4 linked regions of the Diceros bicornis minor genome follow. The protein of the gene in region 1 purifies or fractionates together with the protein of each later gene. This does not show direct contact. Links are inferred from orthologs where the notes say so. Each region holds a gene or a part of one and is shown in the gene's direction. Other genes may lie near its edges. The genes, in order: EGFR, EMD, CANX and SLC3A2.

The links.
Region 2: the proteins of EGFR (region 1) and EMD purify together in Homo sapiens (affinity purification with mass spectrometry; 4 studies listed by BioGRID and IntAct, with this or other methods). This does not show direct contact. The link is inferred for Diceros bicornis minor from reciprocal best matches to the Homo sapiens genes EGFR and EMD.
Region 3: the proteins of EGFR (region 1) and CANX purify together in Homo sapiens (affinity purification with mass spectrometry; 4 studies listed by BioGRID and IntAct, with this or other methods). This does not show direct contact. The link is inferred for Diceros bicornis minor from reciprocal best matches to the Homo sapiens genes EGFR and CANX.
Region 4: the proteins of EGFR (region 1) and SLC3A2 purify together in Homo sapiens (affinity purification with mass spectrometry; 4 studies listed by BioGRID and IntAct, with this or other methods). This does not show direct contact. The link is inferred for Diceros bicornis minor from reciprocal best matches to the Homo sapiens genes EGFR and SLC3A2.

What each region holds. Positions count from the first base shown.
Region 1 is NC_080780.1:11,022,642-11,030,343, forward strand, and holds the start of EGFR (epidermal growth factor receptor), read left to right. Parts: upstream 1-4,688; 5' UTR 4,689-4,907; coding exon 4,908-4,995; intron 4,996-7,702. UniProt on the Homo sapiens protein: Receptor tyrosine kinase binding ligands of the EGF family and activating several signaling cascades to convert extracellular cues into appropriate cellular responses.
Region 2 is NC_080781.1:138,282,735-138,289,634, reverse strand, and holds EMD (emerin), read left to right. Parts: upstream 1-3,995; 5' UTR 3,996-4,161; coding exon 4,162-4,243; intron 4,244-4,367; coding exon 4,368-4,475; intron 4,476-4,638; coding exon 4,639-4,716; intron 4,717-4,932; coding exon 4,933-5,066; intron 5,067-5,522; coding exon 5,523-5,569; intron 5,570-5,649; coding exon 5,650-5,968; 3' UTR 5,969-6,397; downstream 6,398-6,900. UniProt on the Homo sapiens protein: Stabilizes and promotes the formation of a nuclear actin cortical network. Stimulates actin polymerization in vitro by binding and stabilizing the pointed end of growing filaments. Inhibits beta-catenin activity by preventing its accumulation in the nucleus.
Region 3 is NC_080740.1:92,651,354-92,658,391, forward strand, and holds the start of CANX (calnexin), read left to right. Parts: upstream 1-4,016; 5' UTR 4,017-4,152; intron 4,153-4,448; 5' UTR 4,449-4,514; intron 4,515-5,210; exon of another isoform or gene 5,211-5,343; intron 5,344-7,038. UniProt on the Homo sapiens protein: Calcium-binding protein that interacts with newly synthesized monoglucosylated glycoproteins in the endoplasmic reticulum. It may act in assisting protein assembly and/or in the retention within the ER of unassembled protein subunits.
Region 4 is NC_080770.1:10,298,088-10,305,051, reverse strand, and holds the start of SLC3A2 (4F2 cell-surface antigen heavy chain), read left to right. Parts: upstream 1-3,956; 5' UTR 3,957-3,960; coding exon 3,961-4,072; intron 4,073-6,964. UniProt on the Homo sapiens protein: Acts as a chaperone that facilitates biogenesis and trafficking of functional transporters heterodimers to the plasma membrane.

The sequences.
Region 1 (7,702 bases):
AGCTCATGGTCAGCTCATGGTACACAGTCACTGCACATGCACCACAAATTGAGAGGTAGACCCTTCTTTCTCTATTCTTCGACAAGAAAGTATTTGTCTCCAGCAATTTTTCATTGGTTTTAAGACAAAAGTGTAACCTGGCTCACAGGTGGTCAGATATACTCATTTCTGATCAGTACCATATATATATGCCTACAGAATGTTAACCATAATAATGATAAGGTATAATCATGAGCTTTGATAAAATTTGTGCTTTTATATTACTCCATATTTGAAATATGCTAATTTGAAGTGAGGTCTATCATGATATATAATGTATTATGACCTCTGGACCAAAATCTATCAACAAATGTAGATGAGATGAGGAAGAATGAGTTGGATAGAGAAAGGAAGATAAGGGAGAGAGGAAAACCAGAGATGAGAATCATACCTATAAAGTGGCAATAGCATTATTTAACCAGGAAGGGTGAGGCTGCAAACTTGAATGCTTACAGTAGCCACGCAGGCCCCATGAACTGGTGAATCAGGCTTGGTGGTGTTGGTGAGAGCTGGAGACTTAATGTCCTTTCTGAAGGGGACAGTTATCACCCAGCCAATTGCCATCTTGCATGAAAGCAGACCCAGTTGGCAGTTGGCCAGCACTTCCCATTTTTCAAGAGAAACATAAAATTTAAAATCATATTTTAAATATGAAATCTCCTGATTTTTAAATGATGCCATTAATTCAATTAAAAGAAATATTGAGTGGGCCCCACAAAACCACATCTGTATCCTAAACTTGGTCTGCAAGCCACCAGTTGCAACCTTGAGGCTAATATTTCTAATGATAACCACCCCTGAGACAAGTAGTGACACCTTGGACAAAATTATTTAATCTCAGTTTTAAACCTTTAACATAGGCAAAGCATTGTGCAGGGTCCAGAAATTTCCTATAAGATCCCGATGCAAAGTAATTAACAAGCAACAAAGCCAGAAACTAATGTTCAAAACAGAGATCCTGCTTTCCAAGCATTACATAACCCTCAACCCTAGAGATAACGATAAATACTAATGACATACAACACTAATAAGAATACTAATGACAAATGAATGCCTCAGCAGTTTTGTGTCAGCATATTATCCCTGAGAAAGAAGTTGTTTCTTCCATATTCTCAACTCAGAGTCAAGTGCATATAACTTGACTCAAAAGAAGAGAGCAAATGGCGGAGGAAACCAAGAAAGGCTGCCACCAGGAGTGCCCAGGAACCTCAACAAGGTCACCTACTGAGGTCACTGACCCTTACCTTACAGAAATAGGCCATGCCTGCTCACAGTACAAGATTGCAAAGGTATAAATGGACAGACAGTTGAAAAATAAGTCTCCCTCCAAACCCTGATCTCCAGCTACCTAATTATCCTCCCCAGTGGCAACCCTGTTACCACATTCTTGTGTCTTCTTAAAATGTATCTTTAGAAGAGCTGTTGAGTCCATGTACATTGAAATAGAAGCCTATGTTAGAAATGCATGTTCCCACGGAATTTTAGGATTGGAAGGGACCTGGTTCAGTCCTTAATTCACAGTCTCCCTTAGCACTGCTCCTGCATACAAATCTTTCTAAGGATGGAGAAACTCATTCCACTCAGAGGCAGCTCATTCCACTTTTAGATAGCTCCAGTAGTTTATAAAAGATAATTTTTTTAATTCTGAAATCTGCCCCTCTGATGTTTTTCCTCATTAATCCTTGCTTTGACCTCAAAGGCCAGAGAAAACAGGTGGTCAAATGCCTCTGGCCTAAGACGGAACTCAAAACATTCGAAGCCTTCCTATCATCATCCTGCAAAATAACTCCAGTTTCTCCTCTCCTTCCACAAGGTATGTGATTTCTGGGGATTCCCTGCCATGTTCCTTCCAGAAAAGATTAAACTCATTTAAATACTCAGAAGCCTCTTCCAAGAGGAAAAATGCTCATCAGAGAAGGAAAAAAAAAAAGTTTCCCATTTGTAGATGGCAAAGAGAATGAACAGCTTGTGTTAGGAAAATTGACAGCACATATGAGAGTTAATGTGGGATATACTACGGTTGCAGTACATGCTTGCTAATATGGTGTACGTGGATGCTTTATCTAGGAAGTTTTTGGCCAAGCAGAAATTTTGGTTGTACCTCCTCTAAAAAGTTTCCAAGATATTCTGAAACAGAATTTGGGGTCCCAAAGTCTCTATCTGTCTCAGGTTTAGAAAAGTTGCAGCAAAAGAGTAAAGAAGAACATGGCCTAGATTTGGGTTCAAGGCTGGCCTCATACTAGCAAGTACGCTTGGGGACTTCGGACAAGCGATTTATTTAATGCTGCTAAGACACAGCATCACCCTGTCATAAAAGGCAGACAAAGGTGTAACCTGGCTTACAGCGGTCAGATAAGCTCATTTCTGATCAGTACCTAGCAGCATGCAGCCAGGGTTCCTGGTGCTGTTCCTGTGGCGGCAGCCTTCGCCTGGGATGTGGCCTGGGATGTGACTTGGGATCACTCCCTGCAGAGACTGGATGCCCAAGCACCCTCTATGCATAGCTCAGCCTAGGCAAGGCTCCGTTTTCTCAAGAGGATGTCATTTCTGCCAGCTTGGCCATTAGTTTTTTTACTTAACAAGTAACACAGTTATCAGTACACTCCATGTACCTGCCAAGGGGTACAAAAGCATCCTGAATGCCTCACAAGCTCAGAGCAGAAACTCAAACTTAACACAGGTGTCCCAGGAGGATCTTTAACTCACCCGTTCCTCTCCCTTCGCTGGGATCAACCCACTATTGGGTTGTGTGCCTGAAGTGTCACACTGTCTCCTTGGGGAATTGTTTTCACAAAGCTCTGCTTCTTGAGATGCCATCAGATCATGTGGAGGGACATTATAAGAAGACAGCACCGTGAAGGTGGTGCTGTCTATTCTAAAAGCAGTCAGTGAGAGCTGGGATACCTTCACACACTGTGTGCTTCGGGGGATTCATGGGATAAATTTCTATGCAGTCTTAAAGATTAGTTGTAGCTTCAGTTGATTAGTGTATTAACATATGGACAATAGATTTGTGCCACCTCTCATGTTTCCTTGACAGATGGCTTAGAGCCAAATCGGTGGCCCTTGCTGAGGAAATGCAGGACCTGGGTGTGCGCAGGTCTTCTCTAAGACTCTCTCCTGGCTTCACTCTACCTTCCACTGTTGTGTTTCCAGTTTGACCTTCTCTAATTTGTGTAATTTTTCTGTAGCTGTGTCTTTACATACTTCTTGAAGTCCTTGTTCGGAACATGTGGAGGGAACCAAACCCATAGCCTGCAGAATCTTCATAGCCTTTTCCACCCAGGGGCTAAACGAGTTCAGAGGGCTCAGTGGTCTTCCTGATTTCTTAAAACAAATGAACACAAATGACTCTCAGTTCAGAGGAAAAGTCATGGGCTCTGTGGATGGTGAGGAGCCCGGTGCCCTACCCTTGCTGGGTGGAAAGGAAGGATGCACAGTTCCTCTCCTCCATGGACAGGAAAGGTCCCAGTCTTAACTCCATTTCCTTTAGGTTTGTGATCCCTTCTTCAACAGTGGGGAGACCAGCGCTGAACCTGCCTGAATGTCACCAGTGGATCTTGGGAGGAGAAGAGGGGATTTGGTTGTAAAATGGGGCCTGAGGACATGTATCCTGTGGGCGGAGGGGCAGTGGGAGTAGGGCAGACTTCGCTGAGAGAGTTGAGCTCAAGTTCCTGCAGCCCGAGAAAGCATACTTTCTTCTGGCCAAACGCTTAGCAGATTTCCCTGGCTTTTCTCCTGCTTGGGTTACGTGTGCTGTCTCAGGACAATGGGGCACCTGGCTTCTCTAAAAGTGTAATTTTTCGCAAAGTTTTGCGAGGTAATTTACCCCATTTATTTGCTTTTCAAGTACCCCTGGATGATTCCCGGCATATGAAACGCTGTGGGTTCCCTCGGTACTCATGCATTCATTCAACAAACATTTCCCAAGGCCTGTCTCTGTGCCAGGAGTCGGGTGCCCTCATTTCAGACGATTTCGAGGGTGACAGGATCTGAAGGCCTCTCGTACCTGAGAGCACCCTCTCAGACACCTGGCACAGCAAGGCGCAGCAAAGGACAACTAGGCTGCCAGGCTAGCCTCCGACCCCCCACTAGGATCCCGGGGTGCTGTGGAGGAGTTGGGGGCCAGAGTACAGGGGTTTTTTTCCTCATCCCATCCTGGGCCTAAGGCTCAGCTAGTCTGCCCAGAGCTGGTACAAGTTCGCTCCTCAAGTTAGAGGGTGGGGCGGGGAAATGGGAACCCTGTACAAATGAGGATCGACGAAGGCTGGCCCCGGAGAGAGCAGGGCGAGTCCTCGCGGACCGGGTCCTGGGGGACAGCGCAGGGAACGCCCCACTCGGAAGTTAACTCTTACGGGCACCCTCGGGTCCCGCACGCCGCCCCCGCTCCCGCCCTCACTGAGCGCTCGGGCCCACGGGGGCCACCGCCGTCCCCACCTCCTAGTGGCTGCCTGCCTGTGGTCCTAGCTGCTGGCTCTGCCTCCCTCCTCCTCGTATTCTGCTCCTCCTCTGCTCCTCCCGATCCCTCCTCCTCCTCCTGGTCCCTCCTCCTTCCAGCCCAGCCTTCGCTCCCGCGCCCCCGCCCCGCGAGCTAGACGTCTGGGCAGCCCCCAGCGCAGCGCGGCGGCCGCAGCCTCCGCCCCCGGCACGGTGTGCACGCCCGCGGCCAGGGCGGCCGAATCCCGCGCGAGCCCCGAGCGAGCCCCGGCCGCCGCCTCCCGGTCCGGGCAACAGGCTACCTCCGCGTCCGCCGGAGTCCCCGCCTCGCCGCCGCCGCCGCGCACGGCGCCCGACTCCGACTCCCACTCCGACTCCGACTCCGTCCGGGGCTAATTGCGGAGACCCGGAGCGAGCGTCTCGGAGGCAGGATGCGATCGTCGGGGACGGTCGGCGCCGCGCTCCTGGTGCTGCTGGCTGCGCACTTCCAGGCGAGTCCGGCGCTGGAGGAGAAGAAAGGTAAGGGCGTGCCCCCCGGCCCCGCGCCGCCGTCCCGGCCCAGCCCGCGCTCGGCGCACCGGCTCCGCGTCCCGCGCCGCCCGCCGCTCCTCTCCTGTTTCCTTGAGGGTCGGCTGCGCCTCTGGCCGGGACCGTGGGAGGCAGTGGACGTTTCGTTTCTGGGCTGGGCGAGTCCGCGGCGGCCCGAGGAGGGGACACTCCGGACGCGGGGCCGCGGGGCTGCGGGCGGGTGTGGGAACTGTCGCCCGGAGCTCGGCGCCCGGAGCGCTCGCAACTTTCCGGCTTCACTTTCCTGCCTTCCTGCGCGGGGTCGACGGCCGAGGGAGAAAACTTGACACGGGGTGGGCGCGGGGCGGCTCGTGTTTCCGCACGTGCGCCCCGGGCTGTCACCTGGGGGTCCAACCGTGCCGGGGGACTCCCCCGAGGGGCTTAGGGAAGCTGAGGACGGACCGGCGGGAATCCACCCCACTCCTCTCCGACCTCCTGGGACAGGAGCGGACGCTCCGCGTCTCACACTTAAGGTGGCTCGCTGCACCCGGCCTTGCCAGCCTGGGTCCCGGCCCCGCTCTTGGGTCCTTGCAAGCCCTTTTCCCGGGTGTGGAGCCGCAGCCTTGAACCGGGAGGCCGGAGAACTCGTCTGCCACTACCTACCTGTGGCTACCGGGAAGGGAGGACTTAGTTTCGTCTTCGGCAAGAGAAGGAGGGTGAGGTCGGACCCCGCCTGGGGCGCAGATCCTTCGCTCCGCGCGGTCTTGCTGCCGCCCCGGGACCCAGGCTCCCTGCCAGCCCAGAGCTCCCTCCCCGGCGCCCTCGCCCCTTGAGCGCGTGGGTCTCGTGAAGTGGTGGCTTCCTGGGAACTCTCGAGATTTGGCCCCACCTGCTGCCCTTTGGTCACCTCTCTAGGCTTTGCGGTGGAGCTGGACAGAGCGGTGGGACCGGCCGCGGCTGGACAGCTGGGTCCTGGTGCCGACCTCTCTGTGGGCGGAACCCATCTGGCCAGGTCCCCATAGTTTTTCAAAATAAGGCTCATAGCAAACTTTCCACCTCAAAATCCCCAGATTTTTTCTTTGGGATGTTTCTTTTAGCTTTTTGAAGAGTATGACATTGGGCCAACCAAAATATTAAACTTAATTGAAAAAAGAAAGGACTGATATCCATGGTGCACGTGTGGCAAATGTCCAGACCCAGCCTGAGCGAGTCTGGCTTCGTGAGTACCGACCATATAGGCACTTGACCTGAGAAACATGCCTCGGAAGGTTTAATTGCACAGTTTCAAAATCGAGCAGCCCGGGTTCCAAGAGTCAGGTCTGTACTTGCTGGTGATGCCATTGGCACAGAGAAGAGGAGTTTGAGGCTGAGTGCGTTTGTTGGGGGAGCGTTAAGGCATAAAGCAGTGGTTCCCAAACTTTGTTGCAAATTAGAATCACTTGGGATTTAAAACGAAACAACAAAAATCGATGTCTGGCTCCCACCTCTAGACATGCTGATTTCATTGGTCTGGGGTGAGACCTGGGCATCCGGGTTTTTAAAAGCTCCTCAGGTGATTCTGTTGGATAGCGAGGTTTGGGGAACCCTGGCACAGAGGAGAGATTGGTCAAGTCTTGGGAAAGATTACCTGCCAATGTAAGGAGCTCTTTTGGAACTTCTGGAGTTCTAACAATCTTGCAAAATGTGGGACAGAGGAGGTGGGAGGTGATTTCAATACTAAGGGATTAGTCTTTTCCCTGAAAGCTTTTCCTCTCTATGGAGGCTGCAGGGTTCTGCCTCCTCCGTGCTGTGCCCCAGTGGCTGTGAGCCTGTTCCTGAATTGGCTGACTGCAGGGTTCTCTGAGGCAGGTGATCTCTCCCTTTTTGCTGCAGGGGACCCCATCCTTATTCTAGATTAAACTCTTAGAGCGCCTCCAAAGCATCACTTCTCACTCCAGAAATGATCCCAGCTCATTGCTGTTACCTGTTTGAACACTGCTATTAGTGCTTGGAGATTTGTTTCTGAGAAGAACATAAATACCACTTATTTTGCCTGTTAGTCCCATATTTGCTTAAAACAGAATGCTCCTGAATAAAATAGTGAGTGTAGGTGAACACATGTCATTCAGTTAAAGTAACATGAAAAGACCAAATTTAAGGAGCAAATTAGTAAAAATATAAGATGAGGTCTTTTTACAAAAAGCGTCGAAGACTCATATCAATCAAATTTAGTCAGTTTTGTTCAGGAAAATTTACTCATTTTAAAGAGATTTATTTGGTTCTGAGATATGGTATCTTCTGTTCTTTGTTGCACTTAGTACTGTCAGACACTGTTTCAAGTGTCCTTTTAGTCCTTACATCAAGCATGTGATGTGGGTACCCTCATTATATGTGAGGAAACTGAGGTACAGAGAGGTAAAGTGACTTTCCCAGTTAGTAAGAGGCAGAACCAGGATTTGAACTCAGGCCTTCCAGCCCCAGAGCCCTCCCTCAACCACCTGCCTCCACTGCCTTGCGTGAGTCCTGGTTTTAGGAAAGCCAGGGTAAGTGTGTGTGAGCGTCTAACGTCAGATGCTGGGACAGGGAGGGAAGGGCCCGGGAACAGGCTCGTTAGGAAGGCCCCTTGTGTGAGTCTGTTCACGGTCTAGACTGCTGCTCACAATTACTCAGTGGTCACCGTGGCCACCTTTCGTGAAGGCAGCTGTCACCAAATTAACCGTGAACTTGGAAATTGCGCGAG
Region 2 (6,900 bases), on another chromosome or scaffold:
GCACAATTAGGTGCAGTCCCAAAGTCTGGGAGCGTGCAGTGGGTTGCAGCCAAAGAGCCAAGTGTTCGTGAACTGGGTGGGCACAGCCACGCCCTGGCACTGCCAGGCTCCCTCTTCCTCTTCTATGTGCCCATTTCCTGGTAGCTTCAGATGTAGCTCAATTGTCACTTCCTTGGGGAAGGCCACATAAAGCAGTGTCACTTTAACATTTTGCCCACAAGCCCCAATAAGAACTACATTTGACATCCTGAGCCCAGCTGTGCAAGCACACATACACAGATTGACAGAAATAACTGAGACAAACGATCCAGAAAAGGAGACTTTCTCTCACTACCCAAAAAGCACTTGGTATTTTCTATTCTACTCTACTTCATTAGAAGAGAGAAAGAAAAGAAGGGAGGGAGGCAGGAAGAAATTTGGTTACACCTGCTAAATGCATTTGGCCATCTACAGTTGAACACTGACAGGAAGGCGCTGATTGCCCTCCAGGCCTCCCTGCAGCCACTGCTGCCTTTGTTAGCTCTGCTTGCAATGACCTTTCCACCTTGACTCACAGTGGGATCTCCTAGCAGTGCCAGGGGCTCCATGTCCCTCCCTGCTCCCTCTGGTGGGAACCCCCCCCCACTGCTGGGGTGAGCAGTGGGTTATGGTCACTTGATAGGTGAGTGGCCTGAGTTCAGGTCCATGAGGTGGCTGTTCTTCAAGGAGGGAGACCCACCTACCACAGGCATTGCAGTCGGAGCCAGGGGTACAATAGGTGGGGGGCACAAACAAGGCGGTGGCCATGTGGCTGGATCTTTGGCCCCCACCTCCATTTAAATCCTCTCTTTACACTACTGCCTCCCTCCCACTGCACACACACTCCAAAACACACAAAACATGCGCAGCTCTTGGTTTCTACTTCTTCCAGGTTTAAGGGGAATGAAGGTTTGTATAGCACCAGCTGTTCCCTGGTGAAGATCCTAATCAATTAAAGACCTTTTCTCCTGTGTTGAAGGTTTTGGAAAACCGCTAGAATCAGCTACATTCCTGCTGCTAAGGCAGGCCGAATCCCCAACTGGTCGTGCCAGCAGTACCAAGATGAACTGCTGTGTTCTAGGGTGGGTCACAAGGCATTCTTGGAGACGCATTTGGTCCACTGACCACTCCCCATTTTATATTGATTGTAATTGTGACAATCTTCCACATATTAATTTTCACAATAATCATCATCTTATGACTTTTGTTACTATCTGAGCAATGTTTCAAAGCATTCAAATACCAAGCGAAACTCAAAGGATCTTTAACATCCTTGAAGAGAAAAGTTAAGTTTTGTATTGTACTAATGTATTAAGATTCTGACCTTAAAGAAAACATTAATAGCTCAGTGAACAACTGGCTCCTTGGACATGGATGCTGACAAATGTATTCATGTTGGTATTATTTTCCCCTATAACTTTCAATCTTGCTGGGATTCCAAGTTATACTATGTACTGCTTAGGAGCCATTGCCCATCCTTGAAAGAGAAACTGTCTTCTTATTCTTGACTTGGAATCTGTGGCTTCCTAACCCTTTTCACCTCAGCTGTGGTTCCAGAGAAATTCCTCTTCTTTTTTAACTCTGCCCACCCTTCCCAGGAAGACTCCCCTGGAGGCCACAGATTCCCCCAACAGGCCCTCTGATGACACGGTACCCGCGCTGGCCACACTGGCCAGGTCATTGCCCCGAGGACTAGGTACTCCCCCATGCCATCCATGGGAGAATCGGGCCCTTGGGCAAGCCTTCTCCCTCTCCTGATTCCCCCTCTGTGTGATGGAATGGTGCAGGCCTCTCAGCACTGATGGGCAAGGGCTCGCATGGTTTCTGGTGGTCTGGGACAGGTCTGCACTGCGATGGGGCTGGACCTGGGCTCCAGGTGCTAACCGGGTGGGCGCAGGGGACCATTGCAGTTCAGTCTCCTGGGGCCATCCATGGTGGGACCTCATAGCAGGGCAACGGGGGGGTCATAAAAGGCAGAGTGCCGAGGCAGGTGCTGGGAGAGGGGGTGTTCCTTGGGGAGAAAGCAAACCTAGAATTCCTTGACCTCATAAGGAAACAACTTGGATCCACATGGGGAGGGGTGGCATGGGGGAGGACTGGGCCTCCGGGACAGGGGCCAGCACCACAGAAGGCTTGGAGAGGTGCTGGGGAGTCTGATCTTGCCAAAACTCAAAATTCCAGGAGGCAGCTTCTGAGCAGCCCAGAGCCCAAACGCCATCTCCCTCCTTGCTCTGAAAGATAAGCAGCAAGCCCCTGCTGTGCCCAGGGTTCTCCCCCCTCTACAGCCATGCACGTGTCTGGGGACCCACACACCTCCTCCTCCTATTCCGGGAGACAGAGCAGGCCTCGCCTTTACTCTAAAACCTGGCCCACAGCAACTCTTCTGAGGGTCTTTGTGTGGGGTCAAACCAGGACCCCATCTCCTCACCACTCCCTGTGTGGCTACCTCTTCTCCACCCGCTGAGCAAACCTCCATGGAGAACTGCTCTGTGACCCTCACTAGCTAGGCAGCCAGCCTGGGTCTGAGCAGAGCCATCCTCTCTTCTTCTCCCCTTATCACCTGTTGTCATTTGAGACCAGGGACAGCTCCTCATCACCCCGTGCTCCCAGTTCTGGGCCTGCCTGGGGAGGGGCACCTCAGTTGGCCCCATACTCTATCAGTTGGCTTGGTTTAGAACATGGTTATCACCTCCTTTCCAATTTCCACAGGACAGTTCTTTACTGACCAAGGCCCTCACCAACTCCTAGTGAAGGTCCAGCCACCTTGGCAGGCCATGGCAGCCTTCCATGGTCCCCGCTCAGTCTTCTGGCCCCCCTGTCCTCAGGGCCCCCTCTGGACTACCAGGACCCTGAAGCCTACCCAGACCCAGGTGCTGAGAGCCTGCGAAAGCTTGTTGGAACCCCCGAGCAGGTCCCTGTGGGTCTGGAAGGGCCCTCCTGACCCTGCCTGGCCGCCTCCTGGGTCACACTAAGCTCAGGGGCCATTCTGACAGGAGAGGAAACCCCCAGTGCCCCAGGTGGACGTCATGGTGGGTCAGGCGGACACTCGCTGTCTCTGCACGCATCACACGGCGCCCCGTGCCAGTGCCTATTGGCACGTCCGGCCCCTTCCAAGGCTGTTTGCTCCTGGAGTGCTTGGCGGCCTCCTGGGCCACTGCCCCATTTCCTCCCGGTGGAGCGTGGAGGGACGGAGGGAGGCGGTGGGGACCCGCGGGTGCAGGTGCGCAGGCCAGGGCCGTGCAGAGCCACCGGCCGGCCTGCGGCAGGGGGTTTGGGGGGCGGCTTAGGGTCCGGGCCCCGCCGGCAGCCGCCTCCCTGGCGTGGCGCACGCGCGCAAAGCGCTCGCAGGGGCGCCTGGCCCGGGACCGCGCTGTCCAAGGACTCGCTCTTAGGATCTGGCACTTTCCCGCTGCTCTCGGGGCGTGGCCGGGGAACCCCAGGCGCTGGAGCCTGGGAACGGGCCGGGGGTGAGGGCGGAGTGGCGGAGGCCGTAGGGACGGAGTGAAGCCCACGTGACTCAGGGAGAGCAAGCACCCCAAACGCGCCGGCCCTGGCCGGCTCCCACATCCTGGCTAGTTTCTGCCGGTTCGCCTCGCGCAGACCCCGCCCCTCCTCGCTTCTCGCCGGAACACGCCAGCGGGTGACATATTGCCTCGCCAACCCCACCCCGCTCTCAAGTCCCGGCAGGTCTACGCCCATTCCCCTTGCGCGCGGTCCCCGCCCCTCCTCACTTCTCGCCCAGAAGCACCAGCGAGTGATGTCTCCTGGTTCGCCGGCCCCACCCCTTCCCCCGGGCACACTTCCCCGCCCGCTCCCACGGCCGGACCGGTCTGAGCCGCTTGGGCTCCCGCGCACGCCCCGCCCCTCTTTCGCCTTTAGCCAATCCTGCCTGTTTGAGACGTCTGGGCTCGCCAGCCCCGCCCCTCCCGCTCCCACGATCGGACCGGTCTATTCCGGCTGCTCCCCGCGGCCTGGCTCCGCCCCACGCAGCGCGCGCAGCTCGCAGAGCCAGCGTCCAGGGCGCGAATGTGACGCAGGCGTGACGCGGACGCAGGCGTGACGCGAGCGCAGCCGCTCCCGAGGCAGCCGTAGCTTGGTCTGTGTCTCCAGGCCCGAGTCGCCCCCAGGCTTCAGCCGCGCACCATGGACGATTACGCGGTCTTGTCGGACGCCGAGCTGGCTGCCGTGCTGCGCCAGTACAACATTCCACACGGGCCTGTCGTGGGTACGCGGTGGCAGGCCACCTCCCCGCGCTCCGCCCTCGCGTCCCCTTCCGGGACCCCCTCCCCGCGCTGCCCCCGGGCTCCCAGCCCGCCCCCCTGACCGCCCCGCACCCCGTGTTTGGCCAGGTTCCACGCGCAAGCTCTACGAAAAGAAAATCTTCGAGTACGAGACCCAAAGGCGGAGGCTGTCGCCTCCAAACTCTTCCACATCGTCTTTCTCCTACCGGTTCTCGGGTGAGGCCCCCGACCCAGAGCCCCATCTGGCGGCCCGTGGGGACAGGGTTTGGGCGACGGGGAGAACAGAGTCGCGAGGGTGTGGCAGGAACGCTGGCCGGGAGGGACACGGGAAAAAGGGAGGGGAGCCTTGAGGGCAAATGGTCGTGGCCCCCTCATTCAGACTTAGATTCAGCCTCCGTGGACTCGGACATGTACGATCTGCCCAAGAAAGAGGACGCCTTACTTTACCAGAGCAAGGGTAAGGCAGGCGTGGGGTGGGCACCCTGACACCTTCATTCCACTCCCTCAGGGACCCCAGTATCAGGGAGAACCTGAGACCTCAACCCCCGCCGTCCCTCAGCAGCCCTGGAGGGGAGAAACCATGTCACAGGCCCCAAAGTGGGATTCAGATTAGGGCCATCGGGCCAGGCGGGGATACCGCTGCCCGCTCTGCTACTGCTGCCCCCTTCCTAAGGCTATAATGATGACTACTATGAGGAGAGTTACTTGAGCACCAGGACTTACGGGGAGCCTGAGTCTGTGGGCACGTCCAAGGGCTTCCGCCAGCCCTCGGCTTCACTCTCAGACGCTGACACCTTTCACCACCAGGTGAGCCGGCTGTCGGGTTGTCTGTAGTTGTGTACAACCTGAGGGGGTCAGAGCTGGGTTTGGCTAAGTCAAGGGGGCAAATGGTGTCTCCCAAGCCTCCAGGGAGAGGTGGGGTCAGCAGACACCTGCCTGGTCAGGGCCCTCGGCGGGCTGTCAGAACTGTTTGACTGGAGCATACGGGACATGCCCTGCACCCTGGTCTTGGATCTAGCTTTGAGCTTATTTTGAGAATCCTGGGGCAGAAAGTAGGGTGCAGGCAGCCAGGACAGTCACTGAGCAAGTGGCCAGGGCCCAGGGAATGAAGGCCAGGAACTCAGAAGGGTTCTGGAGTATGGCAGGGCCTGGGCCTCTAAGCAATGGGCGGGATAGGCCAGCAGGGGAAGTTTGGACTGAGGGATGTGACAGGGCCACACTGACCCTGCCAGCCTTTCTCCTCATCCTGATTCTTTTCTATAGGTGCGTGATGACAGTCTTTTCTCTTCTGAAGAGGAGAGTAAAGATAGGTGAGTGGTAGGGAGGGCCAGGGGCTGGGCTGATTCTGGGCCCAGGCCCTCCTGGCCCATCTGCTCCCTCTTTGCCTCAGGGAATGCCCCATGTATGGCCGGGACAGTGCCTACCAGAGCATCGCGCACTACCGCCCCGTTTCCAGCATCTCCAGAAGCTCCCTGGGCCTGTCCTATTACCCCACATCCTCCTCCACCTCTCCTGTGTCCTCATCCTCAGCTCCCCACCCTTCATGGCTCACCCGCCGTGCCATCCGGCCAGAAAAGCAGGCCCCTGGGGCTCTGGGCCAGGATTGCCAGGTCCCGCTCTGGGGCCAGATGCTCCTGTTCCTGGTCTTTGCAGCCTTCCTGCTCTTTGTTTACTACTCCATGCAGGCTGACGATGGCAACCCCTTCTGAATGGAGCCCTGAGGGTCTGGCTTCGGGGCCAGCTGCTCTCGGGAGGGAGTCCTGGCTGACTGCATTAGCAGTGTTTGCTGGGGGGCTGTGGGGGGGTGCTTCTCTGTGTGTTCTAGCTTGGGGGTGCTGGGCCTGGCCCAGGGCAGTGCTTGCTCCCCCTGCCTTGTCCTGCCTTGTTTTGAGAGGGAGGCAGCCCGCCCAGGCCCTCTATGGCATAGTGGGCCTGGGCAGGCCTTCCTCCGGAGCCTCCTGGCCCCACTTGCCTCTGATCCTTAGGGCCCGGGAGGGTAAGACCCTTCTCCTGGAGAGGAGAATGTGGTTGTTGTTGTCATTGCATGCCTCCTTGTCACCTCTTTGGGGGGATTAACCAAAGGCCACCCTGACTTTGTTTTCGTGGACACACAATAAAAAGACCATTTATTTTTAAAAGTGTGGGCTCTTTCTGCTGGGAGAGGGTTGGGCTCCCCTGGCTCGGGGCCTCTGAGCTTTGGTCTCCAGAATCACCATCTGGCTTCGTGGGTTCCCCCTTTTGGCCTTGGCCTAGGAATCACATCCTACCCGTGAATCAAAGCACATTGGTGCTTTGCTTGATGGGGTATGTTCCCTGACTCATAACTCAAAGCTCTGGTAATCATGAGAATAACTATGGCACCATGGAGCGTGGAGAGCCCACCCCAAGTGCAGGCAAGGCTGCCTATGCACAGCCTGCTGTGGATCTTTTACCCGGGACAAGCGGATGCCAACCCCAGTGTCCAAGGGTGGGAGATGGTTAGGAAGCAAAGCATGTGCTTGGCTGCCGCCGTTTCTTCCAGGAAGCTGCTTGTTTTATTTATTTTTTTGTGTGTGTGAGGAAGATCAGCCCTGAGTTAACATCCATGCCAATCCTTCTCTTTTTGCTGAGGAAGACTGGCCCTGGGCTAACATCTGTGCCC
Region 3 (7,038 bases), on another chromosome or scaffold:
TGTGAAAAAGACAAAACCTATAATAGAAAAATGGACAAATGACGTGAATAGACAGTTCACAAAGGAAGAAATATATATGGTTAATGAATGTGAGAAATGTTAACTTCACTGTAATAAAAGAAACTTCAGTTAACGTAATTACATACCTCAATTTGACAATGCCAGATGAGTGTGGGTACAGAGAAATGACCGTTACTGACCTAATCAGTAAGAAAGGACTGGATGGGTATGTGGGGTGCTCCCTCTGGCTGGGTGCCCACTTTCTCCTTTAAGCAAAGGAAGGTGAGGATGAGCAAGGATGAGGGTGGCTTTTCAGGAAGGTGGGAGGGGCAAGTTGTTATAAGAAGTAGCTGGATAGGAAAGACAAATTGGTCAACAATTTTGTTCACAGTGGTTTTAAATATATATTTTATCTTTTTTTGGAAAATTAAGTATAAAAGCAGAAATTTATTTGATCCTTTATTGAAAAAATAATATACACATGTTATTAAAAAGGCTCCTTCTCACTTCCAGGGTTTCAGGCCCCCTCTTCAGCATCAATCACTCTTAGCAGTTCTCCTGCATCTTTCCAGTAAGCTTGTTTGTCCAAGTTCATATTTATGAAAATATATCTCCCTTTGAAACATGAAAGGAAACATTACTCAGTGCTTTTTCACATAACACTAAATCTTGGCAATCATTTTATATCAGTACATATATGTGCTCACTGCATGCTCTCCAGCAGGACAGAACCATTACATGGATGACCTATATTCTATTTAACCAGTTCTCTATGATGATAGGTTAGGTTGTCTCTAGGATTGGGGTACTACAGACAATGCTGCAATGCACATCATTGTGTATACTTTTAAATACAAGTACAGTATGTGGATATATTCCATCTATCTATTGTATCTATCTATCTTATCTATCTATATATCTAGATATATTCCCAGGGGTGGAATTGCTGGGCAAAACGTATGTGCATTTTAAAATGGATATAAACAGTTTATTTTGAAAACCATCTTACAGATTATATCATAAGGTTAAAATACATTCAGCCCAATCTCCCATACCTTCTACATCTGAGAACTATAAAATGATTATTTCTTTTAATGAAATACTCTAACACCTCAAAGTACCCTTTGAATTATCAAGAAAAGATCTCATACCCTTTTCCAGCTGGAACCATAGAGGATGTAGAAGAGAAGAAAAAGGCAAAAGCTTGAGAAAAAGTGGAGGAATTTCACAGAGCTGACAATCAAGCACCTGAGAAAGAAAATTGCCCAAAAGATGCTTCAAAAGGCAAGGCAGGGGCCGGCCCCATGGCTTAGCGGTTGAGTACGCGCACTCCGCTGCTGGCGGCCTGGGTTCGGATCGTGGGTGTGCACCGACACACCGCTTCTCTGGCCATGCTAAGGCCACGTCCCACGTACAGCAACTGGAAGGATGTGCAACTATGACATACAACTATCTACTGGGGCTTTGGGGAAAAAAAAAAGGAGGAGGATTGGCAATAGATGTTAGCTCAGAGCTGGTCTTCCTCAGCAAAAAGAGGAGGATTAGCATGGATGTTAGCTCAGGGCTGATCTTCCCCCCCACCAAAAAAAGGAAAGGCAAGGCGGAAGTTTGTCTACAAAAAAGCTACTCTACACTTCACCTCCTGTCACCCAGGCTCATACTCTGAGTGTCTGCTTTGGTTCCTCTCTTTCCCCAGCCTGAGTCCATTCTTCAGTATCAACATTTAATGCTTTTGTTTCTATACAACCTGCCATTCCCTAATCCTGCCCTTGAATCAACTGCAAGAAGTAGCTTCCTAACTGGCCTCATAGCTGGTAGTCTCTCTCAGAACTTTCAGAACTCCCTGGAATAATATTAACATAATGCTTCCTAAATATCTAAATCATGACCTAAATCCAAAATCTAAACTATTTCCCTACAAACTCTTTGGCCAGGCCTTGAAGGCCTGCTCCTAACCCGACTCTGGAGCTGACTTCCCATCACTTTCACGAACACCTTTCTCCAGCCAAAACACTCGTGTGTGCGGTGTCCCCAGACATACGATACCCATTTTCCTGCCTTTGTATACGCTGGTCCCTCGTGTAAAGAAGCCTGCCTCCAACTCTCCACCTATAGAAATCCTGCATATCCTACTAGGTCCAGCTTAAGTCTTACCTCTTTACCTGTCCATTCTAGACAAAAGCAGTTCCTTCCAGCTCAAAACCCCATTAAATTTTCTTCAGGATCACCATCTTTTAGCATTTACCTTTGCTGGAGGAGCTCTTTTGCTCACACAGTTTCTGTAACTACCTTTTAAGCTCATTGTCCAGAACATGTGGCATCCAGAATATTATTCTGCCTTGAATATCCACTTCCCCAGGTAAACAGGAAAGCAAAATTCTCTTACACAAATTTGGGGGTTGAGAGTTGGAGAATACTAAACTCATGCAAACACCAATCTCTGACCTCTCTTTTCCCCTTCCAGGTAGTGGGAGGGAATAAAGCTGGATCCTAGTGATAAATAAATGGCAAGCAATAGGATATATCAGAGCATATGAGGAAGCCATTTGGGGTAAAACTAGTTCTGCCTGAGTTTGTTTTTCCAACAAGGCCTGTCGCCTTTAAACATGCATTGTGTATCCACTTTACCATGTCCCAAAGAGAAGAGTAAATGCCCTTAACATAAGAATGCAACTTCCCCCACATTGGCATTTCCTTAAGGATAAGTATTTCTCACTAGGCTAGGATTTGATTGCTGCACTCATCCTGTGACTGCCCAGATTGAGACAGCAGACCTGCTCCCCACTGTGTCCAACAGCTATTCCGCCAGGGCTATTCTGGCAGGGCAATCTTGTGGCTATTGTAAAAGGGACTTTGCCATCATATGTGATACATGTTCTTTGACAGTATATAACGCTCTGTATACCCCACTTCTTTGGTGGCCTTCCTTCCTTGGGGAAGGAAGGCCCAGGCTATGGTCCTCAAAAGTTGGCTCATAATAAACTCACCCCAATTTTGAATTATAGATTATGGATTATTTACATGGACACTAGGATAGGTGATACACCTACTGGTTCTAGTTTTTTCCACCCTAGTATTCAGACTTCGGGTAACCAAATGACAGACCGAGACCAGGACCTATAAACGTCTAGGAAAACCTAGGCCACTTCCATTTTCTGAGGTTCTAAGCATATTGAAAACTGAAGATGTGCTAAAAGTGGGTTACAAAAATTGTAGTGTGTTTGAAACCTTTCCATCGCACCACTGTTTTCTCCTAATCCTGTCGGGTGTCTGTGCCCTTATGTCTAATCTAACTTCAGGAAACATCACAAATTGAAAGTTGAAATAACCTTGGATTATAGTATTCTAGACTGGGTTTTATGTTGGGTAATGAGGCCGCTGCAGTCTGCTGGGCCCAGAGCGATGACTCTGCAGGAACGCCGGCGCCTTGTTACACAGCGCTGTGCACGACTCCAGGCCGGCCCGCAGAGCCGCTGCGGCTTCCGTCCGGGCCCCGCACTAGCAGAATCGGGGAACTGGCCCTTCCCGAAGGCCCTCCCGACCTCCCACCTCTTCTGCCGGCTGCCATTTGCCCCCTCAGCGAAGGGAACGGGATGCCCGGCCCGGGGACCGGGGCCCGGGTCCAGGCACCAGCAGGGTCCGGACCACACACGATGGGACAAAACGCCAGGCACAGCGCCCACTAGGGCACCACGGCAACCAGGCGCGGGAACGTCCCGTGGACCGGCCCACCCCAGGGCGCGCGCGCCCGCAGTTCCCTATTCCGCTGCGGCCCGCCCCTTTCTTCCTGCCCAACCAAGAGCCACTTCCTGCCTCACTCCTAGCCAATCCCCACACTCCACGAAGAAGAGCCCTAGGGGGCGTACGGGAAGGTGCATAGAGCGAAGGCCGCGCCGACCAACCGGATCTCGGAGCTTGCGCGGGGGGGCGGGATTTGGTGCCGGCCGTAACTACTCAGGAGCGAGGGGCGGACGCAGGGCCGGGCTTAGCGCACTGAGGCTCGCTCGCGCGGCGGCAGCGGTAGCCGAGGCCTCTTGCATCTGCGGCACGTGACGGTCGGGCCGCGTCTGCCGCTGTCTCGGTTGCGGCGCGGGGCCAGGTGTGCGGGCGGGAGAAGGAGCGGGTGCCGCCGGCGGTTCCCGGAGGCTCGAGGTGAGACGGGAGGCCTGCGCGCGTCCTCGGTCTCTGAGGACCCTGGGGCCTGGGTGCGCGGCGTCGCGGCCGAGGGGCCAGGGGGGCCGGGCGTGGCCTGGCCAAGGGGTCGGGCTGGGTTTCCAGGGCCCAGGCCCCGGCGGAGGCGCCGGCCGTGAGCTCGAGGCCGAACCTGGGCCACTTCGGTTGGGGCGCCGGGCCGAGGCCGCGCGCCGGCGTCGGGAGGCGTGGCAGGTGCCCTGGAGCGTCTCTTGACCTCTGGGAAAGCTAACTTCGTCCCATGGCTTTGCTTCTAGGGCTTTCGTAGGCCTTTTGCTGGTTGCCTGGGAAGCCGCGAGGTGCGCTGGAGTAACCGGGTAAAGGTCTGGAGTGGGCTTGGGCCTAGTCGGTACCCCTAGGGTTGGGGAAAGGTGATATCGGACCGAGAGAGAGTATTTAGGATTAGCATTACAGGTTCAATATCTGAAAATAAACCGCAAAGCGAAGACTGGACCCTAGCACCCTGAAGAGTATGGAGAATGTACTAGAACACGCAGTGGTTGGAACACTTACGTCCTAACATTTACACCTAATCGGGAGTGGGGAGTAATCCAGTTGGAAATTCACCGGACATTAAAAGCAGGAAAGCACCGAAAAGCTCACTGTGGGTAGGTCGTTTTATAGTGGAGGAAACTGAGGCCCAGAGCTCTGATATGACTGGCCCAAGGTCATGCGGTTAATTTTATGATCCCGTTGGGGTTATGGTTGAGAGCTAGACAGTTTTGGTGTAGTGGTTAAAGTGAAGGTCCTTGTTCAAGTCCTTCAGTAGGTCATTTGTTGCTATGTGAACTTGGACAATTTACTTACCCTTTGTGCCCCAGTTCTCCCTAAGTAATGGATATAATAATAGCTGATGGAGTTGTTAGAATTAAATTAAAATGTGTATAAAATAGGATAGGGAAATCTGATACATATTAACTGCTCCATAAATAATGATTGCAATAAATAATTGTAGTTTGAATAGTTTGTCTACTACACTGACATCCTACTCTTTGAGTTGGGTAAGTCCTATTTTGCAGGACCTGAAGTCACATTTATGGTGATGGGAGGAAGAAACTGGACCTAGTGGATTAACTGTTGGGCATGACACAAGTGATTGCTGGTTGAGGGAAGTTAAACTGAGCTGAACATTAAAAGCTTGGGAGGACAAAGGTGAACCACAGTTAAGTCTCTTTACCTCTAATTTAGGAAATGGAATATTTTGCTGAGTTTTTTAATAAGTAGAGTTTTGGGGGTTTTTTTAAGGGAAGAATTCTATTAATCTTTAAAAGCATTCTGTATCATCTTTTTCCAGCCATATTTGAGGGTCATAAATAGAATCAATGCCATGTTGTGCATTTGCTATAATTATATTTAGAGCAGAGGTAAAGAACTGTGGGAGAGTTCTCCTTTGCACCAGCCAGGGTGCACATGCAAACAAGCCAGGTAACAGGATCATGAGAAGGCAGGAGTGAACTGTGTACTGGAGTGAATGTATCACACAACAGACACATTTTCTGACCTATCTGAAAATGGGTGTCAGCATCCCTCCCCACATTACTATCTTAACTTGTCAGTTCAACTAGTACATTATCTTCAAGGACCACAAGGGGTAAACATTTTGACAGAAGTAACTATAGTTTTGGCAGTCAGGCTATTGCATCCTTTTAGTTACAGAGTTCACTTTGCCCTGCGAGATAGCTTAAGGGAATGAAGTGGTAGTTGGTAAGCATAAATGTAGGCTCAACAGGCTTGAATTCCAGGCCCAGTGTGGTAACTAGTTTATGAACCACCTTGGTTTCCACATCTTTAAAATGGAAATGAGAAGTCTCCTGGATCCTTTACTATTAGGGGGCTATTGAGAGGGACAAATAAGATGGCGAACATGATACTACTTTGAATAGTGTAATGAACTGTGCAAATAGAAGAATTGGCAGCTCATAAAAACTCCTAGGAAATAATAAAAGTTCTTGAACGTAGTTGTAGCCTATATAGCCTACTCTAGAACTTTGTCAGGAAAGTGCTGATGAATGCTTTGTTACCTGCAGCAGATTTGCTTTTAAATTAATGTTAACTGTGAGCTGTGAAAATTATTTGGAGAATTTTGTTTTTTAAAGAATTTTTGAGAATCTTCAGCAATATGTTTTGAGTATTCACATCTTAAACTTACTTAGTTTATAGCAAAAAAGAAAGTGCTATGGAAAAACCAATTCTAATGTTCCTGTCAATGAGAAACAAAATTCAAAACTGTAGACAAGGCAGTATATGTCTATTTTTAAATGGCTAAGCATTTACAGTGGTCTTTACTTGTTTTCCTCTTTAGGTGCTTTTATTTTTTGACTAGATGCACATGTAGTAAAATCAGAAGGTGCAAAAAGTAGTAGTAAAATGGTTTGTCTGTGACTGGAGTCAAATTCCTTTTAACTGGTTCCTTTCCAATGTAAGACTTAAAATTTCTTATTTGCCTTAAAATTCAGAGTTTTAAATTTTATTTATTTTATTTTTTTCCCCCAAAGCCCCGGTAGATAGTTGTATGTCATAGCTGCACATCCTTCTAGTTGCTGTTTGTGGGATGCGGCCTCAGCGTGGCCGGAGAAGCAATGCGTTGGTGCGCGCCCGGGATCCGAATCCGGGCCACCAGCAGCGGAGCGCGTGCACTTAACTGCTAAGCCACGGGGCCGGCCCAAAACTCAGAGTTTTAGAACCATTAAAACTTAAATGGTGTCTCTGGGCAATACCTAGTAATAGTAGAAATCACTGCTTATGTTGAGCATGTACTGTAAGCCAGGCACTGTCATAAGCACTTTACGTGCATTTTGTTATACAACCACCCTAAGAAGTATATATAGTGTTGTTGTTCTCATTTTA
Region 4 (6,964 bases), on another chromosome or scaffold:
GCCACCTTCTCATACAGGACTCCTTCAGCAGTGTATATCAGGGGGAAAAAACCCCTTCAAGGTCTAATAGTGAGGCTTCCTGAATGATGTTTCCCCGGGCTAGACAATCCAGCAGTAGGCAAACTGCCAGGCTAGGTTGGGCAGAGCCAATAACAGGAAATTCTCCTAGCCTATTTCCTTCTGCTCAGCTAGACCCACTCAAACACACAAACCCCAGTGAAGGTTAAAAAAAATTCCTTTTATTTAGAAAGGCTAAAATGGCTGTATGCCAATTTGAACAGCTAGGTTGTATAAGAAATAACTTGAAAATGCCCTTTTTGATGTCTTCTAAGAGCTGGATTCCTGTAGAGAAAAAGAAAAGTGAGTTTTCTTACTGGATGGGAAAGACTATATGTACTATGAGTTTATAAGGGGCTACACCCCACCAGTTAACATTAAAAGGGCTGGCCTCCAGGTACTTTTATCATGGTTAGTCTATTAAATACTAAACACCAACATATGAACAAATACTTACCATTTTATGTGCTTTGATCTTTCTTCAGTCCTGGAAAAAATTATACAAGTCATTTTTTAACAAGTGATTTATTTTTCCCTTTCCCATGTTTAGAAACCCTTATGATCCCTCAGACAGTTCCTTCTGGAACAAACTTTCCTCTTCTCCTCCAGCTAGCCCCAGTGGGTTCACCTTTACAGGCTCTGGGACTAGAACAGGAGGTAAGACGTGTGAATGTTTCTTCACTGGGAAATTTTAACTTGGCCCAACCTTGCATCTGAATTCACTTACCTCTAACTTCAGACCGCAGTTGAGCAGAAATATGGCTTATGCTCACCCTGCAAAAGAATGATTAGGAATTAAGTCTCTCAACCACCCCTAAGAGTCCCTGTTGCTTGGAGAAAAGGCACATCTGTATAGGCTATGTAGGTTTCAACACATTTCACAGAAACTGCCAGCTAGTCCACAAAACTTCCTATTATTGTCACTTTCACTCCAAGACAAGCTCACAGCTCAGAGAATACCTTTCAGTCACAGTGATCAGACTGGGGCGGTATTGAACTCATCACTGGTGAGTGGGCATTTGTCACAGGTGGTTCAGGAATGGCCAGTCATGTCTCTGAACAGCTATCCAGACCAAAGTAGCACGCACACAAAAACTGGCAAATTTTATATAGCAGCCAGATAGTGCTGTGAAGGTATTTACCTCAAATCATTCTTGGGCTTCAGACAAGGTGCTGGACCTGAAAGAAACAAGACTGAATCAATAATGCTTACCTCTTGCATTAAAAGTTGTTCCCACTTAAGCCACCATTCCTAGAAAAATCAGATTTCCGAGTCTCAACAGCAAGTTATCAGCCGAACGAGATTCCATGTAAGTCATCATATACATAGACCTAAAAAGGCATTTGTTTCTACCCAGTGAGCTACATACACCAATACATGGTAATTACTCACCTCTGAGCAAATAAGCAGGCTACTGGAAACAGCACCTAGGGAAAGACAAAGCTGTGGGTGACAAAAGTTCCTTACACATGGTACCTCCCCTACTGTGTTCTCCAGTTTCTCAGGTGTTCATGTGTTTTCATTGTGAAGTCATAGTGAGCTAGTTTGCTTCATCATAGAAACTGTCTCCTTGGTGGCATAAACCATAGAGACATTAATCAACTAACCTTTTAATTCTGGAGGCTTTTCAGTAGTATACATTAACAAGCTGCTCCTGAATGAGAAAATCATGTAATTAGCAAAATATCTAAAACAGCCAAAGCTATTCTAGCTATGGTTAGTGGACAGGCCAAGAAATGCTAAGCAAATGCTACCAACAGGCATTTGCTGTACCTCAGACAGTTCCTTATGGAACAGGTTCTCATCCTCTCTCCCAGTTAGCCCCAGTGGGTTCACCATTACTGGCTCTGGGGCTAGAACAGGGGTTAAGACGGGATGCTTGCTTTCCTCACTGGCACTAGACTCTGGGTCAAGCTAATACCAGCAAGGTTACAAGTACTCACCATTCTCAACTCCTTCCAGGAGTTCGACCTGGGGCAGATCACTGGGCATCTAGGAGAAATAAGAGGCAGTCAGGGCTTTGGTAACAAAAAAAGAAACCCCATGATGACAAGATTATCCTTTGGATGAGTTCACATATATGCTAATTTACCACAGTATCGGGAGAGGCAACTTACCGTGAGATGAATTTATCATCTGGATGACCTGCAAAAGGGGAGCAAATGGTTATTAAAAGATACTAGTATGGAATAAATTTCTTCATTAATAGAAACTGCCATCAGAACTCTAACATGCTATTAACTGTCGTACCTCATGGAGGATCAGCATATCAATTCAAATCATCTGACAGTGACATGTGGATGAGGGAAGAGCACACCCTCACAAGAACCAACTGTGCTGCTGGGTTGCTCTCTCCCCAGGAAAACCATTCCAAGAACAAGCTGGAAGGAGCAAAAAGGCAACACTGCTCCACTGACCATTTGCTCTCCCGGTTGTGGGGAACACGGGAGAGATGACACCCCAATCCATTTGAACAATTACCTGTATTCACCCTGGGAAGCAGCTGAATTCCTCAGGACTGGTGACGAAATGCTGGAGACAGAAAAGCAAAGCATTATACGTACTTAAGAATAGCCATTCAAAGACCCTCGGTACTCTCGGCCCACTTCTCAGTAGTAAGATGACATCACTTTTAAGGTCAGCCATATGCTTGTCATTTTACGTTCATCATGGAGTGGCCAGCACAATTTGAAAGAGCAAGTTCCATCGAGACACTGTGCCGTTATCCATAACTGCATCAACCATTGTGTACCCACCTGGAGCATCACTGTAATGCTTGAATCGCACAGGAGTAGGTCTTGTCCCATCCTCCAACCTGTAACGTCTTTTGAGCCGAACCACATCTGAAAAATACCAAGAGCACCCTTTACTTAGCTAACATGCGACAACCTAACCGTCCCATGTTAGCGCCTTAACAGCTCAGAGCTAAAAAAACCCAAACATTTGCTGCGGATGGTGCTACTCAGAATTCTTACATTTTCTCCACTCATCCATCAGAGAGAGAGAGTTCCATTCCTAAAATCATCCCCGTAGCACATCCCATAGCACATCCACACACTCGACAATGGAGAACAGTGGTGGAGGATGGCTGTAAGCACTTACTCTAACAGGAGGCCTCTTTTCCAGGCTTCAGCGTTAAATCCGGCGCCTGCACCCTGCAGACAAGAGGACATTAGGTCAGCATTGGATACTTTGCCAAGGCCTCGTTTTCCGACTGCGTCGGACTTCGACTGTGCACGGCCCGTCTCCTCAGAGTTTCTTATCCTCACGGAGCTCAGTACAGGTCTGTGAAAAGGCTTCATCATAGAGACGGCCGCCGTCCCGGCCCGCCATCGCCATCTTGTCCTTCACAAAGCCCCGCTGCTGCTTCGACGCCTCGGCCAAGATCTCGTACCCCTCTCCCACCAACCAAATAGGTGCAGCACAGGGAGGCTTAGCAGGCACCACGGTCACCCGGTCTTTTTTAATGCTGGAAACCACACACTTACCAGAAACAGTGGAGAAAAATGAGGCCGAAGGGTCACAGCGAGACACTTAAATAGCACCTCGCAGGGGCCCACGGGATTTGGGGGGGGGGGGGCGGGACTATGGCGCGCGCACGCGCATAAGAAGAGGGCGTGCGAGCCTGGGGAGTTGTGGGTAGAGAGGGCGACCATTGAGTGCTCGTCCGCAGAAGGTGAGGCGCGAAAAAGGTACGCATGCGCCTGAGGGAAGTACGTAGACGCGCGCATCGCTTGCAGCGGGGTCTGTGCTGCGGCTTTCCGTTGAGTCTAGAGCGTTGGGGCCCGGGCTTCACGCCGATCCTGGTCTGAAGCTGTCTCGGTCACAGCCGCCTGTCCCCACACCCTTCCTTGAGCCCTCCTTGCCCACACACCCTAAACGCACGTGCAGGGTACGCTTTTATGGATCCCAAACCTCCTGAACCCTCCAGCGGCGTCGACTCGGTTCCGCACCAGCCGCCCAGCGCGCATTCCGGGCCTGGTGCTCAGGGTCCCAGCGCGGGGGGCAACTCAGGTACTGGGCCCCGGGCTGAGCTCGGGTGGGTGCCTTGCATGGAGCCGTTTCGGGAAAGTGCATTAGGCCGTAGGTGCTCCACTTGAGTCTTAGGGCAGGGTCTGATTTTTCCAGACCGGCCACGTATGTCCTGCTGTCTCGTCTGGTTGGGACCTTGGAGCTTGTCTTGTAGCGGGGCTAACGTTAGCAAAGATGTGGAGCACTATTTTAAGCACACTACATGAATCAAGTACTTTAGTCCTTCTAAATCCCAAGAGGCGGGTGCAATAACTACCCCTCTTAATAGATGAGGGACCCTAGGTGTAAAGAGCTGTTGCAGAGCAGCCTACAACTCTTTCCTGGTTGTCAAAGTGGTTCCAGTCATCTATAGATTGTTGTTATTGAGACCAACCAGCATTAGTCCAGTCGTTTGTGGAAAACACCTAGTGCACGTTTCATAAATATTTACTAAGCTCTTACTATGCGCTCTTCTGTGTGACCTCACCTACTAGTACTACAACCCTAGAGGAAGGTATTAAGGTAACGTTCTAGATGAGGAACCTGAGGCCAGCAGAGGTTAACTTGCTCTATGTTATCCAGCTAAGAAATATCAGAGCCAAGGTGCAAATCCAAGCAGTCTGATTCCAGAGCCTGCTCTTTTGACCGCTGTGATTTATTACTGTCATCACACACTGTTCTCAGGGTAGTCAGGGAACAAGCTGATACACAGGAAACAAATAAGAGTGATCCCTGGGTACGGTTTCTCAATCTTTTTTCATTGTTGTCTCCCCCTCCCCAGGAGGCTTAAAAAGACATTTTTCCCTCTAATCCTCCTCCATGAAATTTTAATACCACTGATATACTTTATATCTGCTTATGTACTCTGGCCCTTTGGAGGGCCAGAGACCTTTTTAATGTCTAAGATTTGTCTGGAGGAGTTGTCATTTCACTCAGAGAGGGCCTCTCTGATAAGGGTGACGTTTAGGCGGAACTCTGAAGGAAATGGAGGAGAGAGCCAGGTGAGGTAGAGTGTTCCAGGTAGGACTGGAGCGCTGGACTGTGCTTACAAATTTGTAGGTAAAATTACAGGTGGTGGTTAGGATTTTTAAAATAAAACTGGAGAGATTTTATGTATGTCAGGGAGAGATTGAAATTTGGTGGAAATAATGCAGATTTCATTATCCATGGAATAAATGTTGAAATTTTTTTTCCTTTGAATAAGGTAGAAAGGGGATGTTCCACAAGCAAAGAATGTAGTAGTCAAATAAAACGTGTGTGTGTGTGTAAATATATCTGCTTGACTGGTGCAAAAAAGCTGGAGTGTCAAGTAATAAGAAATGAGAAAAACAAGGTGAAACAATTGGTGGAGAATGTTGAATGTTAATATATTAACATCTTTTAAGTGTTTTCTATGGCACTTTCCAGACACTGTACTAAGTGCTTTATACATATTACCTCAATTCAAAAAATAGTAGTTGTTGGGGCCAGCCCAGTGACATAGCAGTTAAGTTCACGCACTCTGCTTTGACAGCCCAGAGTTTACAGGTTCGGATCCCGGGTGCAGACCAATGCACCACTTGTCAAGCCGTGCTGTGGAGGCGTCCCATATAAAGTAGAGGAAGATGGGCATAGATGTTAGCTCAGGGCCAATCTTCCTCAGCAAAAAAGAGGAGAATTGGCAACAGATGTTAGCGCAGGGCTAATCTTCCTCACCAAAAAATAAAATAAAATAGTAGTTGTTATTGTTACCATCCCCCATTTCACAGATAAGAAAACTGAGTTTTACGTTAAGTTACTTACTCAAGAATACATAACTAGTTTGGCAGAGCTGTTATTCAAATCCAGTCTCTACTTTTGTCCCTATTAAGAAAATTACCCAAAACTTGGAAATAGGCACAAGTGATTACTAGGTGTCTTTTGATGTAAAGCAGGCTCACCCAGCTTGAGGATTATCTGATTTTACAGCGGTGTGTACCCTTGTTTGATGTCCTATTATTGCTTGGGTATTTTACAATTGTATAAGATTGCCTTCTATGACATTAGTCAGTTTTATATCTACCTATTAGCAAATCCACATCAGCATTCTTTTTTTTTTTTGAGGAAGATTGGCCCTGAGCTAACATCTGTTGTCAATCTTCCTCTTCTTTTTTCTCCCCAAAGCCCCAGTACATAGTTGTATATCCTGGGTGTAGGTCCTAGTTCCTCTAAGTGGGATGCCGCCTCAGCATGGCTTGATGAGCGGTAAGTAGGTCCGCGCCCAGGATCCAAACCAGTGAACCCAGGCCACCGAAGTGGAACAGGCGAACTTAACCACTACGCCACTGGGCCAGCCCCCTGTATCAGCATTCTTGACTGATAATCCTTTCCTAAAATTCTCTTTTGAATCAATCTTGAATCTTATTTGTTCTCTTATTAATTAATTGGTTGAATAAAATCTTTGACCTGCATTCATTTTGTATTTTTATGAGTCATGTTTTAATTTTTTTCAATTATACTTTAACAACCCCTGGGGTATGCTGCCTTACTCCTCGGGTATGCTGCCTTTCATGGGTCCATTCATTTATTCATTCAAGAAATATTCATTGAGAGTCAAGATTTAAACTCAGGAAGTCTGACTCCAAAATTGGAACTTTTAGACAGCGTGTTAGCCCTATTTTAACACCATGCCTCCCTCCAGCTAACATTGTTACCGCACAAAATTTGTGTTCTCTGCCCAATGAGCATAAACCAGACAATTATTATGGCATCAACCTTTGAGGGGAGAAATCAGCTTTTATTCTATGAAATCAATCTCCAGGGAGACAGGGGGCGTGTGCCCTCAGATCTGTCTCCCCGATTCAGGTTTTGGGACACAATTTAAGAGGTTAGGGAGAACAGTTTGGCCCGCGGAAATGCTAGTGGGACGGGTTTTTT